Neodiprion lecontei: one gene and its partner. The protein of the gene in region 2 interacts with the protein of the main gene of each other region in a biochemical or structural test. Links are inferred from orthologs where the notes say so. Each region holds a gene or a part of one and is shown on either strand. Other genes may lie near its edges. The genes, in order: signal transducing adapter molecule 1 and ubiquitin carboxyl-terminal hydrolase 8.

Region 1 (7,679 bases), on a different chromosome or scaffold from region 2:
ATGATGTATATAAATATGTAAATGATACTCGTGAAGGTCAGGTGCATTTAAAACACCTCATAAAATCGCCGCGAATTTCCCAATTAACAAGATAATCGAGATTTCAGCTGTATGTAATATATCAAGCATTTCAATTACTCGCGGTATTACTTACATATTGTGTTTCAGCAAAACCACGCATCATGGTTTTGTGTGGTGATTGGAATATTTTTTCCTACGTGTGGATAATTTGCAACGAGTTTTGATGATCCGAAAATATGTTGATTTTATCATCAAAATCCGTATTGCTTTAGCAACGGATCCTTTCTGACGTCTTTACAGTAAATGCCAAGGACAAATAATAGGATGAATCAAATAAATGTCATTGTCGAGATAAAGTGTTTGTTATTATTCTGTGAACAACAATAGTATTGTCTAATCATTATTCATAACCGCATGGGAGATAGGGGAGATTAGGCCTTTGAAAAGTTCAGATAATAACTAACACAGTGGGAATCTGTTCCAAGGAAATAGATGTGGAAAGTATAAATGGATAGGCTGTGATTTACGTAAATAATTGTAATTCAATGGCAACGTAACATAGGTATACATTTCACAGTATCGTTTACATTAACTTGTAACTTATAAGGACTTGTATTCACTGTTTTTTATTTATAATTTACATATTATACCAAGTACTTACAAAAACACGAAACTTACGCCAGTCGTAATTTTCTCAAAATATATATATATATGTATATATGTATATATGTGTGATTGTTACTTTAAAGTGAGATTTCTGTACTTGAACTAGCTTCATTTTATCGCAACCGGCTCTTCTCGTGCAATAGGAAATGCATATATTATCTATTAGCTGAAATTGCAATCACTTGACTGGCTGACTGGCTTTGATATTGGCAAGGAAACTCTCAATAAAAGACAGTTCAGTCTTTGTCTTAGTTTGCAGTTTTAATTAATCGATTTTACTGTCATCACTGTATTAGTCCCTCTCAGACAGAACGTAAATAATCCCAGCCAAGCGTTTAACGCGTCGATTGTACATTATCACAAAGAAAAAAAAAAGATTAAGCATCGGGCAAATTTTAGACTAGACGCAACCAGCATACATTTCCACAAAACTGCCATCGATCCATTTAAATATATTGATTATTACATAATTTTTTTTTATACAGCATTAGGCGACCAAGCCTCTTGTGGTTTGTATACACTTTCAAACTAACTTAAGCAAACTATAGAAGCTTTACCAACTTTTATCTCTTATGTTTTAATATAGAACATAATTGGGATAATAGTATTAGTAAATTATAGCTACATACGAAGTTAAATAATAATTTTTCTTACGTTCAGCGTATTCTACTTCTGTCGTTTACTTCAGTTTCCTGCCTATGTTAATTTTCATTTCACATAGGACCATATGATAAATTAGGTATCAGCATGACCTTCAAGGTCTATTAATTCGCGATCGAAATTAATTAGATATATTACCGACATTGTCTTCCGAAACGGTTCACTTCGTATTCAAAATGTTAAAAAATATTATTCTTTACAGTTCTGACCACCATATACGTAGTGTTGTGAATTTCATGTTGGAAATAAGAATAATTGTAAGATTACGGAAAACATCTAATGTACAGTGATAGGCAGATACACAATTAATGCAATATGCATTTATTAAAAAAAACACCAAGTCAGACATTTTAAAACGGAACCTGAACTAAAATCTCGAGGCAACGAAATACGAAAACAAAATTAACACATAAGTCTCTGATTTGAATATCGAAACCCAGGCTTTTTGACTACATTGGGCGTACTTATTTAAATAATAGTAATAATGATAATAATAATCTTCATGATAATAATATTATACAACTTGAGTAGAATACAAGGGAATTTTTTTTGGAACGTCGTATTATATCTTTGCTTACATCATATGCTGTCCATTTGGAGGAGCATATTGAGGCTGTTGATTTACTGAAGGCCCTGGTGGCCCAGCGTAAGATCCTCCTGCAGGAGCACCTTGTGATGGAAACCTTTTTGGGAAAATTTTATCAAGTATAAACCGAAGGTAACATTACATTACCATGAAATTATATGAAAAATTAGATTTTGCACAATTCACATTGAGGAAAAAAAGAGAGCAATATATTACCCTTGTTGAGGATAAGGTAGATTTGTTCGGTCAGGTGGCGGTGGTAGGCCCTGAGGATGACCAGAAGGTGGCGGGCCAGGCTGCATGTGAAAACGCGGTAAATTCACGTTTCCCATGTTTCCGGGAGCCATGTATTCGCTCCCAGGTATACCAGGTGGATATGCTCCTGGAGGCATACCCCCTGTGTTGAATGAAGGCTGCTGAGGCATACCATTATACATCTATAAAATGGAAGTCAGTCAAATCAAGTGGTGGATGCATATTAGCAATTGCACTGGTATGCAGCTCCTTTTTGCATTCACTGGTTTTCATTTGACAATAGGGCGTTTCAACCGCCTCGGTATGTCCTCATAGCAGTTAATTATTGAAAGAGAAAACTGCGAGCGAAGATGAGATACTAACGAGAGGTGGAGGTGGTCCTTGGTTTGGAAATTGGTAAGTGTTGACGTGGGTTGGAGGCATTTTTGGTAATGTGTAATTCGTCGGGGTCGGAGGTGGTGGTTCCCTCATTAGCGTATGATACAAATTAAGAGCATCCACCAGGTCCGAGCTTAATTGCGTTAGTTGGGCGTGTCGCCTATCGACCTTCTCCAGAGCCGCATCTATAAGCGGTCCCATAGCTGTAACTTGTTCTGAAAAAATGCAAAACATCCGATGTTCGAAAAATTAATCATGTTAAAATGAAGTGAAAAATATTGTAGACAACTTCTGTACCTTCCAAATCTAACATTTCCTGCGTGTCAGTCGAATCGCATTCAGGGTCGGCCTCATGTAGCAGGTGGAGAAGTCGGTCCATTTTAGGTTCATCAATTTCAACCTCGATTATCTCTGGCTCATGTTTGACCGTCTTCACTTCAACTTCTTCCGCAAATTGCACGGACTTTTTATTGCCGTGTTCCAGTTCTGTAAAGATAAAGTTGAAAGTATTCACAGCCAATCAACAGTGGTGTTTCTGTGATCTTGATTCTGGGTGTTTCTTACTTGTAAATTGTTCGGGCTCCACGGATAAATCCGCAGTGACAAAATTAGATGGAAACAAGCCTTCTCCTCTGTGATTTGTTCCTTTCCACCAATTCGGATCGGTATCATCGAGAATGTGAACTGTAAGAGTCAGAATAAAAATTGAAAACGAACTTTCATTGTAATATGAATCAAGCTTAATGATACCTACTTATTTCCCCAGCTAAAAATGTCAGCTCGTTATCTTCAGCTGCCTCAAAATCGTATAGAGCTCGAACTTTTCTTCCATCTGTACTACTAGCTGAACTCAACGCTGTACTGACGCTAGGATATAAACTGCTAGACTTCTTTGTCGATGGTGAACTATGCGAGATAGTAGAATGATGATGTTGCTTGTTCTCTTTTAACGAAAGTTCTATTGCTGGTAGGAAAAAATGAAAACAAAAAAACACGTAATAAGAGTTACGACTGATTTTCATTTCAGAAAAGTAATAATAAATTAGAAAATCAGTGATATACAACTGTCTTGCTAATTGTAAGACCATTACAACTATTACTTACCTTTCGCTATGTCTTCTTCTTCCTGAGAATTGGTTACAACATTTGGATCCCTACTGATAGCTGTGTGTTTAGGCTAAAAAATTTTAATTACAAATGAATGTTATTATTGCAAAAACATGATCTGCCAGTTTTGATGGTTCCGTATTACTGACACTAAATAGGTTTGAATAGCTTAGTCAATTTCAATGTATGTATATGTTATCAGTTGTAAATACGCAGCGTTTACTGTTAACTTACATATGTGTGTATACTTGTATTTCAATGCATCTTGATTATTTACATACAACATTTGTATTGTGTGGAAATTGAAAACGAACAAAGCTGATTCATTAGTTCAGAATTCAAATCAATTGCAAACATATAAATATGCTTCATTCGTGATACAGATATGTTATCTAATGAAATTGAACTCTTAGTACACACGTAAATCCACAAAGATAAATCCTTTTCTCAATACTGCTTTTGTCATTAATTATCAATGTACATTGTAGTATGCATCACACCACTTCGTAACCAAGTCTCTGAAGTCAAGTAAGCAAATGTGATCTTAAGCTATAATGAGTCTTACCATTTCTGGGACAGATGAGAAATCCAAACCTTCACTCTTTAATTTGTTGTATAAACTAGGAATCAAATTAAGTTGTGGATCCGTCTTAAAATCTCCTTCAGCCCATTTCTTCAATAGCGATTTTAGCTTTTCGGCTACTTTTGGTTGACAACGTGCTATCAACCTTCTCAATTCGCCTTCAAAATCTCTGGATGCTACTTCCAAGTGAAATGTCTTCCCACAATTGCTCGCACAAGCATCCAATAGCTACATTTTATAAGAAAGTTCAGAAATTTGAAATGATGAAAGGCGTATTTGTATTCTCTGAATTATTTGAAATATATATTGTTCTTTGGTAATTATTTAGCGAGAGCTAATACTAACTGTCACAGCTTGCATAACAATGTGTGGATCCTGAGCATTTAGCCTCCTGACAATGGAGCGAAGACAATCTTTGGCATTCTGGCTGGAGTTGCCTACTTTGTCGCATATATCCATTATCAAACCCCATTCTTCAGACGTATTTTTTTCATTGGTTGCCTTTTCTGGAATGCAACATGATATTAACAAATACAGATTAACTATTGCAATTCACAGATTCATCCGATATTTATAGCTGGCTATGGAACACATGAGTGATTGGGGATGCTATTAGAGTCTACACAATGCCAAATTTTCATCGAGATTCCACATGTCAAAGAAGACAGTTGATCAACCAACTCGATTGACTAACAACTGATTGAATACAAAGGGGGGAGAAATCAGATGCACTTATTTAGGCGTTCAATGTTCATACGCAATAATAGCGTTGTGATAGAAACGAATCGCGATGAATATCTTGCAAAGAAAAGTAGTGCTTCTAAATACAATATACATAATTAACGTCGACAGAAAGTTAAATTAAGTTTGGGAGGGGTAGATGAACTCTTACCAACGTCAGCGTCAAACGGTGAATTTGAGAAAAGTCCCATTGTTACGTAGTTGGTTTAATTGTGTATTAAGTTGATTATCACGTAGACTTCACGCAACTGCGGAATCGTACCGTTCAGTATCACGAGTTTCCCGTTTACGTTTTACTACGCATCCAGCTGATATTTAATCATAAATACAGTTGGGTGACTAATAACATCCTAATCTCGAGCACTGCGCTGCCATTTTATTATCGAATCGGGTCGACGCTCGTGCTGCGAGTCATGGTCGAACGATTATCGACCAAGTCACTTACATTGTAAGTCCTTAGGCAGAGGGAGCCAGCGAATGTACCAATTGCAAAATACTGCAAAGTACTACCTGTCGGGTTTTTTCCATATATGGTATTTTGGTCGCGTTGACTGAAGCATGGACTGAAGATTCATAAAGACTGCTAGCTTTATGGGGCTTTTCGTAATTTAAAATGGCCGACATAAATTCATCGTCAAGCAGCGCCCTCTGCGTCATCCTCTACACGCGCAACCCAATCCGGCAAATGGTCGATAAGTAGAGGGGACACGAACTGATGTTACCGTCGCTCACCGCGTGTACCCAGATAATGCAGAGTGGAGTATTATTACGCCTACGGAATGACGAACGGGAACACTAAAATTTTCAAATAACCCCGTATGGACGCCGCATAGTTTTCAACTATGCAAATTCATATGGTCCAAATTCAGCAATATCAATCTAACTCCATCGCATCGACAAAAATAATGTTATCTAAATAGATGCACAATAAACATGCACCTGGTTTACTGTTGACAGAGTTGGAAACTTTTTCTCGATGCAAAGGATGGGAGACATAGTCGAAGAAGTTAATCAAAGGATGGAGATATATAGTTGTTCCTATATGTACCTTATGTAATTTCTGTTCATATGTTTAATACTTAGCTCGTACCGTTAACTGAAGATAGTAATATGTATCTTCAGTCAACGCTCATATCTTTATTCCGATACAAGATGAAGCGGACATATGAAAATAATTTAACTGACATTAGTTTTTATTGACAATGAGTTAAATTTACGCAAGAAGAAAATTGTTATTTGAAAAACTACAATGAGTATTTGACCAGTGAAAATAAGTACACTTATGCTCGTTTCCACACCACCACAAGCGGTAGAGCACCGGGCGCGTTTTTTTTTACGTGGTTTCCCCAGTAGGCCTACTCCACGGAGAATACTTGCAAGATCGATCTTACGTTCTTCGAAAAATCTTTTCTTTCAGATATTAATTATGATAAATTGTTTTTTCCAATCAATTTGTACTCGCGTATATTTGCAGTTTGTTTGAAATTTTTCAGTTCATATCACCCGGTGACTATTTATTATTGATGAAAGATGACTGTTTTAATTATAGATGAAAAATGGTTGTTTTGATTATGGATGAACGGTGATTGTTTTTATCTTATAGACGAACGGCGATTGACTTTGGAAGTTCGCGCACGGGTTTTTTTTTTTTGTTATGAGGTATGAGATAATCCCTAAAATGGAGAACATGGTGGATACGCAAAACAATCGACAACTAAACCAATATCGAAAACACGAATCGCTGTAAGACTGACACTAAAACGATCACAATAAAAGACTGTAAAACCGTTAATAAAATTCTACAGCTGAATAAATTTTACCACATTTTGTGATCGTGATGAGTCTGAACTACATCGCTAAATCTATGTATCGGTGAAAAAAAGATGACTGACCCTAAACCAGACCTAAGCCTAAAAAATTAAACGTTAATTTTTCGGTATAGTCAAAATAACTCAGTTACCTGAAACAGACGAAAACATAATGAGTGACATATGTCGATACAAACAAAAATATACTTAGCTTATATAAGTAAAAAATATAATTAACGAAAAAAAAACAAAATAATTAGTTGAAACAGACAGAAGATTTGGTTAGCTGAAACAGTCAAAAAGTTTGATTAGCTGAAATAGACAAAAAATTTAATTAGCTGAAACAAACAAAAGGTTTGCTTAACTGAAACAGACAAAAAGTTTGATTAGCTGAAATAGATAAAAGGTTTGATTAGTTGAAAGTGAAAAAAGTTTAGTTAGCTGAAACAGACAAAACGTTTGATTAGCTCAAAACGACAAAAAATTTTATTAACTGAAATAGAGGGAGAGTTTGCTTGGCTGAAACAGATAAAAGGTTTGATTAGCTGAAATAGACGGAGGGTTCGATTAGCTGAAACAGACAAAAAGTTTGATTAGCTGAAACAGACAAAAGGTTTGATTAGCTGAAACAGACAAAAGGTTTCATTAACTGAAAATGAAAAAAAGTTTGATTAACTGAAACAGATAAAAGGTTTGATTAGCTGAAACAGACAAAAAGTTTGATTAGCTGAAACAGACAAAAGGTTTCATTAGCTGAAAATGACAAAAAGTTTGATTAACTGAAACAGATAAAAGATTTGATTAGCTGAAATAGACAGAGGGTTCGATTAGCTGAAACAGACAAAAAGTTTGATTAGCTGAAACAGACAAAAGG
Region 2 (4,921 bases):
TCAATATCAGGGGGCATTACACCAGGATTTGTTGTAAATGTAGGGAAACAAGTTAACCATTCTTTGTATCCTCCGTGCAGCACAACTATCCTCTTATAAGCTACACCTGGATCCCAATCAAGCAGTATATTCCTCAGCACGTTCAATTGATTGGTTGATTGTAACGAGGCTTTAGTGGACTGCCAATCTAACAATACTATCAGATCGCAGTATTCCCGAGCTCTGTGCCGAATAACTCGACATGTTCTCTCATCCCCGTTCAATCGTTTAAAAAGATCGGTAGCTAGTATTCTGAAATATTAGAAATACTAGAAATAACCAGCGACATGTTTCATTCGTTTAATAAATAACAATTCAAGAATCAGTATGAAGACTGGGTGTATTTGGGAATAAAAAAAAAAAAAAATACCGGGTTTTTCTAGAATTTCCCAGTGAAAAATATGTTTCTCCCAAGTGCCTAGACATAGATTATTGATATTACTCTGCATATCGAGGAAATTACAAGCCTTTTATATACTTTTATAACATCGCGCTTTAATTTTCATGAATGTTATTTATAGCTTGCAAAATACGAAATTCTATCAATAAAATTTGAGATCACAGGAATGCGTGCGGGAGCTTTTCATCACCATGTTAAGAATTTCAGGGTACATTGATAATTTAAATGTGTAAAATATTTTAGAACCTTTATTTTCACATCAGGTTCATCGTATGTCTAATGGTATAAGGATGTATGTGTCATTATACGAGCTTTTACCACATGTAAAGATAAAAAGGCATATTTTTTTTCCTCGATCGTATTTAAGCGAAAAATATGAGCATACATTCGAAAACATTGAAATTCAAAAATGTAGTTAATGTAGAGCGTCGTACGTACGGTCGGTATGCCCTTTAATCACAAAGTTTATGAAAAATAATCATGTTCTCTAATGGTGTAAGGTCGCATTTTCCCACATACAACCTTATACCGTTGCGTATGATGTTATTTTTTGAGAAAATAAAAATTTTAAACATTCTTCCCAAAATAAATGAATCTTTACTTTTCAAAGATTTTTAAAGCGTTTGCAAGAAAAAATAAATTGGCGAATACGCCCTTGTACTGTTATGTCCGATATAATTATTTGTGAAAAAAAAATTTTTATCCTTTCCGAAATCAATAAATCTTTACATTCGAAAGGTTTTCAAAGCTTTAAAATAAGTTGGCGAATACGATCTTATACCCTTACGTCCAACCATATTTTTTGACAAAAGACGCAATTGTAAATTTTTTTTCAAAATTGAGAAATCTTCATATTTTGAAGGGTTTTGCATTGGTCGCGAAAAAAACACAAAAATGGCGGATGCAACCTGATATCATTTATAAGTGTGATAAATAAAAATATTTTTTGGTGCAAAAGGGCATATCCACCAAACAGAGGGCCATTAACCTCTGTAATTTTTACGTCTAATTTTTTAACAGATTTTTTCTTCCGAGAAATTCGCATCTTTGGTGCATATGTCTTTATACCATTAGACAAACGATATTATTACACTATGTCAACCAGGCATAATGGGAAAAAATTTTTCTAAACAAAACATGAATTGTGCACTAATTGTGCAAAATTTATCTTACTATCACAGAGTACCAGAAAATTTCAGTTTTTCCCCAGTAAGAAAAATTTCTGGCATTTCTCCAGTGCGTATACACCCTGGAAGAGTATCTCATTTAAAGCCAATGAAAACTGTGTGTTTACCCAGTCTTTATTAGGTCAGTTGGAATGTTTATGCATTGATCGCTTCTGATATGTGAATTTTGAAAATCTCCTCGCGGTCTAATATCAATTATTATTATTCGATCAACCAGTTTTTGCATTTCTTGAAACATCTCCATGCATGTTATCGACGTTTCAGTCAGTTTGGTATCTGGGTCATCCGTCGGTGTGTCGGGTAAATTCAGCTCGATATCCCCAACTTCATTTAACAAATCATCATCGTTCATGTGATCGCTTTCAATTATCACCTTTTCAACAGTATTCAGTATCTGTTTAGTATTCTCTTCCAATCGTTTCACCTTATACCTGTTTTTCAATCTGTCAGCAATTTCCTCCAAAAGACTTAGTATCTCCTTTACCTGTAAATCACACACACTTAGCTGCCTAATTTAAGTAATGATTTTCGAAAAATCAATACTGCTCAAAAGTCAAGCAATTTTTCCTAAAAGGTATGAGGGCTGGATAATGTACTATTAAAAAAAAATGTTGGAAATAGGTCAACCTAACATTTTCTGCCATCTACCAAAATCTATAACTTTTGCCCAGGATTACCTTAGACCCCGAAACATAAGGCTTGAGAAAATCTTTGTTTTCTGTAAAATCAGGCGTTTTTTGGAGCCAGCGAATGCAGTGAATCCATCGCATATAAACTATATAAGCCATTTCATCATCTCCAGTCAATCTGTGTTTCTTTCCTTCATCCAGTAATTTTCCCAAAGATTTGCATACCATCTTAGGATTTTTTTTTTCGAATTTAACTTCTGCTTGGCTCGTTAAATCTTCGAAACATGTGGCACAATGAAGCGGACAAGTGGGTACAGTACTTGGCATTGTCACTGTAGGATTCTGTTTTTAAATTAAAAAGTCAGTCGGGTCTTCTGCTTAACCAACGTTTGAAACAGACGATTTGGAAATTGAGGTTCGTACAACTAGTTATTCCAATGATCAATTGAAAGTTGCACCGACATCGTGAAGTTTCATGAAAATTGGTACACATTGAACACGGTTCAACATGTTTTAATAACTTTTTTTTTATATAATACGAACTAAAAAATCGGTATCTGTGAGTTTGGGATAAAGCCAAGCTTCTATTAGTTGACTGTATTTCGAGGATTCTACAGATCCGATCATTACAAATACGTAGTATGCCTCATGAAAGGTATGTACGTCACACAACATTGGTGGTTATAGAAACGGTGACATTTGCTTTCACGTCTCTTTCGTCGTTGATTTGAACATACTAGTGTTTTAACAGTGGAAACAGAAAGATACAGTTACCCGCAACTCCCAACTGACAGGTGACAAATAATTAAAGTCAACGCAGGTAATCGAAGGCACTGAAATATACTCCACCTCAAACGCGTACCGCGCACACGGAGGTATTCAACTGGATCTGACTATATCACGGTCTTAATGCATCAGCAGCAAAAATGCTCTGATTGGTCAATTATGCTATCGGTTTTATGCCTAACTACAATTGTTTCAATTTTCCTGAATAAGCGGTCGAGTTATCAAACATTGCAATTGTGTTATCAAACACCTGTAAATGACCAACGATTGCCAGTATGAGGAATGGAATACAAAGCAATTTAGTGTTGAATGAGGAGCTGTCGTACGATGGTCGTACGTTAGGTGCGCCTGGATTGGGCAAACTCCGGGGACTATTGCATAACTACCCAGGCAGCATTCTGTTCACGGACCTCAACACATCCGTAGCATTTCATGTAGCATCCGATCATGAAAGACCGTGTTCGGCAGCACTTTGCGGCAGAATTAAGGCTGGAGCACATAAAATTACAGAGGCCATAGGCAGAATGCAGAAGCCGTAGCACATGCGCAATTGCAAAAGGCCAGTCCGTATGGTTTATGCATTCTGCCTATGGATTATGGATTTCAATCTACATAAAGATCCATAAGCCATATTCCATGGCATATGGCATAACGAACAAGAATTATTGGTGTGACAAATTTGACAGCAAACGGCGGGAAACACGCGACTGAATGCATATTTTTACTTCCTGAGGCATATAAACCAATTGGTATATATCACCTCATATTATACATGTATTTGATGCGGTAACTATGGGTTTGAAGTTATATTTCGTAACATCAGATGCTTTTGTAGAGTTTCGACTGCTTTTTTACATCCATGTGAGTACTTATATCCTTATTTTTTCAATATTGGTAAGCTTTAGGTTATATTTTTCTGACGATATTATTCTTTCCACGCACTTTATAAGAACACATGTCTCTATTTCGATTTGTGATTTACGGCAATTTTTTACCGTACTATTAATAGTCTTATATTATCGAATTCCTTCATATCATCTGTGTAATTTGGATATTTTTTTCACATATTATTATCATCTTCTTAATATATATAAATCTCGTGTCACGATGTTTGTCCTCAATGGACTCCTAAACCACTTAACCGATTATAATAAAATACGCACACCATGTGCAGTTCGATCCAACTTGAGAGATAGGATAGTTTAAATCTCAAATTATAGTCGCAATTATAATATATTGCTAATTATTTGTCTGTTATTATTTGACAGTCACAATTATCTGTCAACTCCGAATGATTCTAACAGATGTCGATACCTTTCGACTGGGTTGAGTAAGTAATCAATAGATGGCGCTGCTATGGTAAATCTACGAACGTGTAACATCCGACCGGAACGTCCGTATGTTTTATCGACTATTATTACTGCATGTTACTTTTATCAACTAACCAAACTCGAAGTACGAGAATCTTGTAACCATAAGAAATTAAAACAACTGTCTAACTATTTGGAATATCCCTAGATGGAAATAACTATGAAATTCACTAGCCAAGGCTTAAAAACCATGTTACGAGATCTTCGTACCACAGAGAACTATAATACTATTATGCGTTATTATATATCACTATCATATTAACACTATAATTAACTAACACAATTATACTCAATTATTATATAGCACTCAACAATGCCATTTGTGCATTCGGAGGTGAGAGCTATACTATAAGCAACATACGCTTTACTACATAGCCCGGAGTATAGAAGATTGTAAAACCATAGATAAATGCATAACCAATATAATGTAAAGATAGCACTGCTGCAATAACCCATAAAACCAGAGACTGCAAAACCATCAAACCGTGAATGCTAATTACCCAGCATGAA

The links.
Region 1: the proteins of ubiquitin carboxyl-terminal hydrolase 8 (region 2) and signal transducing adapter molecule 1 form a complex in vitro, tested with the Homo sapiens proteins (2 studies listed by BioGRID). The link is inferred for Neodiprion lecontei from reciprocal best matches to the Homo sapiens genes USP8 and STAM.

What each region holds. Positions count from the first base shown.
Region 1 is NC_060261.1:32,829,458-32,837,136, reverse strand, and holds signal transducing adapter molecule 1, read right to left. Parts: upstream 5,767-7,679; 5' UTR 5,189-5,766; coding exon 5,149-5,188; intron 4,763-5,148; coding exon 4,602-4,762; intron 4,485-4,601; coding exon 4,239-4,484; intron 3,744-4,238; coding exon 3,671-3,743; intron 3,531-3,670; coding exon 3,321-3,530; intron 3,251-3,320; coding exon 3,131-3,250; intron 3,053-3,130; coding exon 2,864-3,052; intron 2,782-2,863; coding exon 2,552-2,781; intron 2,371-2,551; coding exon 2,150-2,370; intron 2,031-2,149; coding exon 1,922-2,030; 3' UTR 544-1,921; downstream 1-543. UniProt on the Homo sapiens protein: Involved in intracellular signal transduction mediated by cytokines and growth factors. Upon IL-2 and GM-CSL stimulation, it plays a role in signaling leading to DNA synthesis and MYC induction. May also play a role in T-cell development.
Region 2 is NC_060265.1:31,615,364-31,620,284, forward strand, and holds the start of ubiquitin carboxyl-terminal hydrolase 8, read right to left. Parts: upstream 3,272-4,921; 5' UTR 3,030-3,271; exon of another isoform or gene 2,679-3,029; intron 2,598-2,678; coding exon of another isoform or gene 2,583-2,597; coding exon 2,304-2,582; intron 2,111-2,303; coding exon 1,734-2,110; intron 292-1,733; coding exon 1-291. UniProt on the Homo sapiens protein: Hydrolase that can remove conjugated ubiquitin from proteins and therefore plays an important regulatory role at the level of protein turnover by preventing degradation. Converts both 'Lys-48' an 'Lys-63'-linked ubiquitin chains.